Linked DNA regions of Caenorhabditis elegans. The protein of the gene in region 1 purifies or fractionates together with the protein of each later gene. This does not show direct contact. Each region holds a gene or a part of one and is shown on either strand. Other genes may lie near its edges.

Region 1 (3,926 bases):
ATATCATCGGGAATTTTCCCGAATAAACTTTAAATTTCCCCGTGAAATCTCATTACCCTTTTCCACGTTTTGTAGTCTATAGATCTGGGACAGTGATAAGAAGGTTGCTATAAATTGAGAATATTTTGCCATAATCTTCATAGAGTTTTCATAACTCCTTCATCGAACGACCATGGCCCAATCCGTCCCACCAGGAGACATCCAAACCCAACCAAACGCGAAGATCGTCTTTAATGCTCCATACGATGACAAGCACACCTATCACATCAAGGTGATCAACTCATCGGCTCGTCGTATTGGATATGGTATCAAGACCACCAATATGAAGAGACTTGGAGTTGATCCACCATGTGGAGTTCTCGATCCAAAGGAAGCTGTGCTTCTTGCTGTTTCCTGCGATGCTTTCGCCTTCGGACAAGAGGATACCAACAACGACCGTATCACTGTTGAGTGGACCAACACCCCGGATGGAGCTGCCAAGCAATTCCGTCGTGAATGGTTCCAGGGAGACGGTATGGTTCGTCGCAAGAACCTTCCAATCGAGTACAATCCATAGGATGTGTGAACTGGGTTTCTTAACAATAAACTTTTTTCAAGTATATGTTCTGTTTTTCTGTTTTAATCTGCAAATTGAATATATATTAATACTCAAGCGAACAAGTTTTGTGTTCCATCGATGCCCTTAACATAAGCATCCGGGATTTATTGTAAATCGTTTGGAACTATAGTAATCCTACCTTAATCTTCCAGTAGTCATTCAGTTCAGAAGACTACCCAACCATACTACTAACCCAGCCCATCTCTCCAAAACCTGAAAGCTGTTTTGCTCCGTAAAGGTCGAGGAGGGTGTATTTTTCTTACAAATCAAAGAAATTAACAAGTGAACCGATCACAACTTTTTTTGCTGATATGAGAGAAAAATACTTTATTGATTGGTTCGAGTAAATTTTCGAATTTTCGAAAAAGGAAAGATCCCTGGTATATAATGTCTCAGCTCTGCTATGTATTTTTCTATTTGAAATTCCGAATTCAAATTTTCTCTAGATGAAAGCCTTGGTATTGAATTCTATGCTGGGTTTAGTAAATTTTCGAATTTTCGATAAAAATTATATAATGAAGAAAAATATCCAAATTGGAGGTATTTTAATTTTAGAATACGGGAACGAAGAAGATCAAGATCACATACAAAGTTTAATGGATCTGAAGACATTTCAATTTATCTGGGTAGAACCAATTCTTCAACTCCAAATTCTACAGTAACCGATTCTTAAACATCTTATGGAAGTCCATCGAGATATGTATTTCATTATCATGTTCTTACCCGTTTTTTTTCAATAATGAGATTCTATATTTCGCTTAATGTTTTTATTGTTCTTATTGCTTCCAAAAATTAACATTAAAACAATAAATATTTTGCATCTTGACAAATTTAACATTTTAAAGTCTGGTCAGATTTCATCCTTGAGGACAGTGCTGTGTCTACATACATGAAAAAAAATCAAAAAGTGGCGATTATTTAGTTTCATCCGCATTAAATTTTGTAAGACAAAAAAGTTTGGCAATTTACCAAATCTATGACTGAAAAATTTTCAAAAATCTAAAAACGTTTTGAGCATTATTTTTTAAGGTTATGAGGCCCTAGATAATCATGTTTCCTACCCGATTATCTATTTTAGATGTTTAAACTTCCGTTTTCATGATTTTAGCCATACTCTATTTAGATATATTCTTCCTTTTCATTTCATTTTTCCTCGCAGCTGCGATGGCAGTGTTGTTCGAAGTGTTCGTTTTCGTAGTGCCTACGACACTCCGATGTTCCACTCGCGCGTGTTGTTCACCGTAAATGTACACTGAGTTTTTCTTCGAATAAAATAGTTTTTCCTTCATTTTTCACCTGATTCGTGCGATTTTATTTGTTTTTCACACGTATTTTCATTATTTGAAGGTATGGATTTGAACGTCAAACAAAGTGGAATTCATTCCGTCGCTTTGCACACGACTTACTTCCAAAATCGCTCGGGGAAAGTCTATAAAGTGAGAAAACCTCTCCGAAATCACCTAACCCAATTAAAATTTTGCAGAGAGCCGAAGAAAGATATCTACGAAATGATCTTTCATGTGGACTTGCTCAATGTGGAACCTGCAAGGATTTCGGCACAAATCCGCTGTTAAAAATTGAAAATCCCGTAAGAAATGCGAAAGTTGGAAGGCACGCGCTGATTGTGGATTCCACATCATTAATCAGATTCTACGATTTGTTTGATTCGTCTTTATTGAGGTAATGAATTAAAATTACAGCGGAATCATTTAAATGTAGATGGTTCTACTGTCCAATTATTAAATTCTTAATTTGTTGCTCCAAATTCAGTTTTTAGAAGTTGTCGGGATTGTAACAAACATCTAGTTTCAATTAAAAACTCTGTAAAATAATAAATTATATTTAATTTTCAGAGATCTCATCGTAACCCAGACTGTATGGGAAGGAGTCAAAGCAAAAGCTGTACCAGCCTACAAGAAAATGAATTCTTTGTGTTATGAAGATGCGAAAGACAGATTTCACGTGTTCATGAACGAATTTCACTGCGAGACCTTCTCCGAATCATCGAAATTTGAGGATTTGAGTCGTGGCGAAGAGCTTCTACTTTCAACAGCTCTTTACTTGAAAACTCATTGGCAGAAGCATAACGTGGCTCCTGTTGTCTTAGTTTTTGATGAAGATTCGAAAAAAAGAATGGAAAATCACTACCAACACGTGATGTATTTAAAGGTTAATAGTCGAAAAGTTCAAAACTCTGTGGATCTTTTCTGAAACTGGCGAAATTTCGAAAAAGAGCCAAATTTTGTTAAAAGAAAATTTTTGATTTCTTAAGACTCATAATGAAATTCTGTCGTTCCGAGCTAGTTTCAGACTATTTCAGCCAAAAACCCTAAAATATACACCTCTTTAACATATTTTCGCCGTAACTAAACTTTTATTCAACTAAAAATCATGATCCTTAATCAAAAATTGTATAATAAAGTACAATAAAGTTTGAAAAATGATCCAGTAACCCCGTAGAAAAAGAAAAAATCTCCAAATTTTCAGGAATACATACAAAATTTGGAGGATCCAGGAAAACAAGCACTTTTGGATCAAATGGCTGCGTATGAAAGCTCTGGAAATGGAAATGAGAAACAAATTTTCGATGAATATCTATCGCATGATAGAATTATGGAGGGAATTGCCAGTGGAACGATCAAAAGAGGAAATTTCAGTGTTTCAAGAGAAAATTATCGCGAAGCTACTGTTATTATTGATGATCAGTTAACATCTTGGTTCATCACAGGTGCTTGAATTTAGTTGAAATATTTATTTTCGAAAACCAACCAAATTTTTCACACAAGTCATTACTTTTTGCTGAGAATTTTAAAAAAACTTTTTTATAACGAAATTAGGTGGTTTTCGGTCATTTTGAGCGAAACAACTCTGAAATTATATTTTTAAAAAAGGTGAAATTTTTCCAAAAATTCCAATTCTCTGAATAATAAAATTTTTATTTCGAATTTTAGGAAATAATTGCAATCGTGCCGTCAATGGAGATACCGTCGCAGTTCAACTTTTGCCAGAAGACCAATGGACTGCTCCAGAGAAGAAAATTCGACTCCGTGACGTTGAAGAATATGTTAAAACTGCAGATGACATGGGAAATGAAGACGAGGAGAATGATGACGAGAACGATGAGCCAAAAGCTAAAAAGTCGAAGAAAATGACTGTTTCAACTGCAAAAGTTGTTGGAATTATCAAAAGAAATTGGCGTGAATATTGTGGAATGTTGCTGCCAAGTACAGTGAAAGGAGCCAGAAGACACTTGTTCTGTCCAGCTGAACGACTTATTCCAAGAATTCGAATCGAGACGGAACAGGCTGAAACTTTATCACAGCAGAGA
Region 2 (3,926 bases), on another chromosome or scaffold:
AAGGAAATTGAATGATAAGGAGATGAAAGTGATATCTTTGAAGGTTCAAAACAACTTTTCCACTTCGAGAAGATTCGTCTATAAAAAGGAAACAATTTTATGAAGGGATCTTTGTGAGTTTATAGAATTCTAGGGGTTGTAGTAGCTTTACCTTTCCAAAAAATGTTGTATTTCAGTTATGCCTTTTTCAAATGAAACAGATCCGCCAAGAAGTTCCAAACTGCAAATGATGTTTGATTTTCGAACTAATAGTTCAAAGTATCCCAGTCTAATTTATTATACACCGGAATTTTTTTATGATTCAACAAATAAAAAAGTGAAGGCGAAATCGGGGAATACCCTCAAGAAGATACACAACATTGCAGGGAAACAAAGGAGAAAAGTCTGGTGTTGGAGCTAAATGTCTTCAAATAAAAGTTACAAAATCGGTATTAATTGGTTGGAATCTCCATAAAATATTATTCAATTAATTTTTCTAAAAAAAAAACACCTTCAATATATTTTGATGAATAGAGCAAAAATCTACTTTTCGTCCTTCCTTAAAATATTATTTTTGAATTACCGCCAACAGTGGCCGTGGCCGCGCACATTTGAATTTTCTAGGCCAATGGTTCAATTCGAGAAAATTTCACCGATTTTTAATGCTTATTTTTTCATTATCCTTTTATCCATTTTTAGATCATAATTTCAATAAAGATTGTTATAAATATTCTTCTTTAATAATTATAAATAATTTTAGAATGGCAGAAGAACCGAAAGGAGTACCGCTGTCAGAGCTCAGCTTGCAACAACTCGGAGAACTCCAGAAGAATTGCGAACAAGAATTAAACTTCTTCCAGGAGTCTTTCAATGCTCTTAAAGTTTGTTGAATTTCGTATTTGTTTTTCAAATTAATAAAAATATTTGCAGGGTCTTTTAACGCGGAACGAAAAAAGTATTTCTGCTTTGGACGATGTGAAAATTGCAACTGCAGGACATACAGCTCTCATTCCACTTTCTGAATCGGTATATTTTCATTGTACTTTTTTAATAATTAATGATTATTCAGCTCTACATCCGTGCTGAACTATCTGATCCATCAAAGCATTTGGTGGAGATCGGAACTGGATACTTCGTGGAGCTGGACCGCGAGAAAGCCAAAGCAATTTTTGACCGTAAAAAGGAACATATTACAAAGCAGGTACGAACATCGAAAGTGTCTTACTTGAGTATTTAATCTTATTTATATCAGGTTGAGACAGTTGAGGGAATTCTGAAAGAGAAGCGAAGAACTCGGGCCTATATTTCGGACGCATTCCAGACCAAGGTTCAGTCTCAACTCGCCACGATGAATACACAATAAATGTCTGCCGAGAAATCTACTTCTGAAAATCTCTTGCTTTTCCGATATTCAAATTGTTGTTATCAATTTTCGATTTTAATACTACACCTTGCATTGATTCTTGTTCAAAATAATATGTTTCTTGCTTCTTTTTTGTATTCTAGCTAGTGGTTCGCGTTCAAACGCCTTGAGTACTTACAGTTCGAAAAAATAATTACTTTAAAATCTAACTTCAGAAGTAATGAGAGTTCAACCGGTGACAAACTGCGAGAAGGCTGTGATATTAGAGGCGCTGAAAATTGGAAAAGTAAACTGGTTTCATTGGATTTATTTTTAATTTTTTTTTCAGAGATTTGATTTTCGTAGTCTGGAAGAATTTCGGGATGTGAAGTTAGTGGTCGGAGCAGAAGTTGGAACTGCAATTTGCACTATTGGAAATACAAAGTTCGTTAGTTTTTCCTTATTATTTATAGTCATAAATTTTGAATTTTCAGAGTAATGGCTGCAGTAAGTGCCGAAATCGCTGAACCATCGTCAATGAGACCACACAAAGGAGTTATTAATATTGACGTTGATTTGAGTCCAATGGCTAATTATGGTTAGATTCCTATTTTTGATTAACAATTATCCTTTTTTTAGCCAATGAGCATGACCGTCTCGGGAGCAAAGGAATGGAACTGATTCGTCTATTGGAGCTTATTATTCGTGATTCTCGGTGTATTGATGTTGAGGTGAATTGAGCTGTAGAGAACTTAAATTACAAAAATAAATTCCAGGCTCTCTGCATTCGCGCTGGAAAAGAAATTTGGAAAATTCGAGTAGATGTCCGAATTCTTGACGAAGATGGAAGTCTTCTTGATTGTGCTTGTCTCGCTGCTATCACAGCTCTTCAGCATTTTAGACGACCAAATGTCACTTTGGAACCACATCACACTCTTATCGTGAGTTTGAATTTTTTTAAAGTTCTTAAGTAATCACAAATTTCAGTATTCGGAATACGAAAAAGCACCAGTTCCATTGAACATTTACCATATGCCAATTTGTACAACCATCGGATTATTGGATAAAGGGTTTGATTTCTGTCACAAATTCATTTTAATTTTTAATTTTCAGACAAATTGTAGTCATCGATCCAACAGATAAAGAAACTGCATGTCTTGATGGATCAATTGTAGTTGCCTGCAATAAGCGTCGCGAAGTTTGTGCCCTCCATCAGAGCACAAATCTCATTTTATCAACAAAGCAGGTATTCAATTTCGCATTTCAAATTTTCGAATATGACTTTAAAATTATTAAGATCGAGCGTTGCGTAAAGTTGGCAATGGCTCGTGCGGAAGCGCTCACTGCAGTTGTTAGTGACGTCATTAAACAGGATCAAATTGAAAGGTAACATTAGATTTTCAAATTTTGAAATTATTATTCAATTGTAAAATATTTCAGAAGCGCATTCAAACGTCCGGATGGTTTTGCAATCACCACTCCATCACTCATTCTCACAGCTGGAACTACAGCTTCTCGTCAAATTCGTGCTCCTGTAATCAAAACTGAGCCTGAGTCGTTCACACAGAGAAGTCTCTACCAACCAAGTGTTATTCTTAATGAGAATCCATTGAGTGTCGGATCAGTCAAGCAAGAAGATGTTGATGAGGAGACATTGCTCGCCGAGCAACTTACAACTATTCAGAATAGTGTTGGACAAGTTGAAGTGACTGAGAAGCAGACTGTTGCAGTTTCCAGCCGAAAGGTTTGTGAAATTAAGATTTTATTTAAACATTTTTTTACTATTTATTACTGTTTAAGCGCGAAGTAGAGGAAGTCAACGATCTTCTTGACGGACTCGACGATGACGACGAGGAGGAAGAAGTTCAAACAATGACACTGGGATCCGAAACAGTATTGAACGACGTGCCAATGGAAGAAGCTCCAGATGCCGAAGATAGCCTCGTGAATGCTAAAAAGAAAAAGAAGAAGTAGTTTAGATGCCGCTAATTTCTTTAATTTGTTGTCTTTTTCATTCCTTCCCATTTTTATTTGTTCGCAATGTTGCCTTGTTGTGTTTATGAATCGTTTAAAGTTTCATTCGGGAAGTACGGGATTCAGTTGAATAAGACATTTAGCAGCTAAATATTCCTGAACAGAGATTGACATGAGATAGAGAAAAAAACCAATGCAATATTTATATTATTAAGAAACCATGAGATCATGAGAATGCCTACCGTTGTTTTAATATCTCGTAGCGAAGGCACCTAAATCTCTCTTCGCCGCATGCTCTCTGCTTCCGCTACTTTCGTGCCAGAAAGTAGGCATTCTCATGAACTGGTGGTCTCTTAATACGCTGATACGAAATTTTGCGATTTCTGTTCAAAAAATACGGTACCGGTCTCGATAAGACAAGGTTTTGTAATTTAAAAATGCTGTGCGCCTTGGAAGATTACTGTAATTTTAAACTTTCGTAGCTACGAAAATTTCCTAAATTTTTCGTATTATAAATATATTAGCTTAGCAACGAGATTTTAAAATTACAGTAATCCTTAAAGGCGCACACCCTTTTCAATAAATTTTAGTCGTGTCGAGACCAGGTACCGTATGTTTGACGCAAAAACAG

The links.
Region 2: the proteins of dis-3 (region 1) and exos-9 fractionate together in Caenorhabditis elegans (co-fractionation; one large-scale study listed by BioGRID). This does not show direct contact.

The regions. Positions count from the first base shown.
Region 1 is NC_003282.8:10,095,261-10,099,186, forward strand, and holds the start of dis-3 (putative exosome complex exonuclease RRP44), read left to right. Parts: upstream 1-1,941; 5' UTR 1,942-1,947; coding exon 1,948-2,034; intron 2,035-2,081; coding exon 2,082-2,278; intron 2,279-2,451; coding exon 2,452-2,767; intron 2,768-3,085; coding exon 3,086-3,326; intron 3,327-3,549; coding exon 3,550-3,926. Other genes in the region: msp-36 (Major sperm protein 10/36/56/76), read left to right, coding at 173-556. UniProt on the Caenorhabditis elegans protein: Putative catalytic component of the RNA exosome complex which has 3'->5' exoribonuclease activity and participates in a multitude of cellular RNA processing and degradation events. Has both 3'-5' exonuclease and endonuclease activities.
Region 2 is NC_003281.10:7,195,698-7,199,623, reverse strand, and holds exos-9 (Exosome complex component RRP45), read left to right. Parts: upstream 1-1,557; 5' UTR 1,558-1,562; coding exon 1,563-1,628; intron 1,629-1,670; coding exon 1,671-1,765; coding exon of another isoform or gene 1,766-1,769; intron 1,770-1,815; coding exon 1,816-1,919; intron 1,920-1,960; coding exon 1,961-2,052; intron 2,053-2,097; coding exon 2,098-2,262; intron 2,263-2,308; coding exon 2,309-2,391; intron 2,392-2,434; coding exon 2,435-2,567; intron 2,568-2,618; coding exon 2,619-2,707; intron 2,708-2,761; coding exon 2,762-3,065; intron 3,066-3,121; coding exon 3,122-3,295; 3' UTR 3,296-3,399; downstream 3,400-3,926. Other genes in the region: pfd-5 (putative prefoldin subunit 5), read left to right, coding at 741-860, 910-1,005, 1,049-1,180, 1,232-1,342.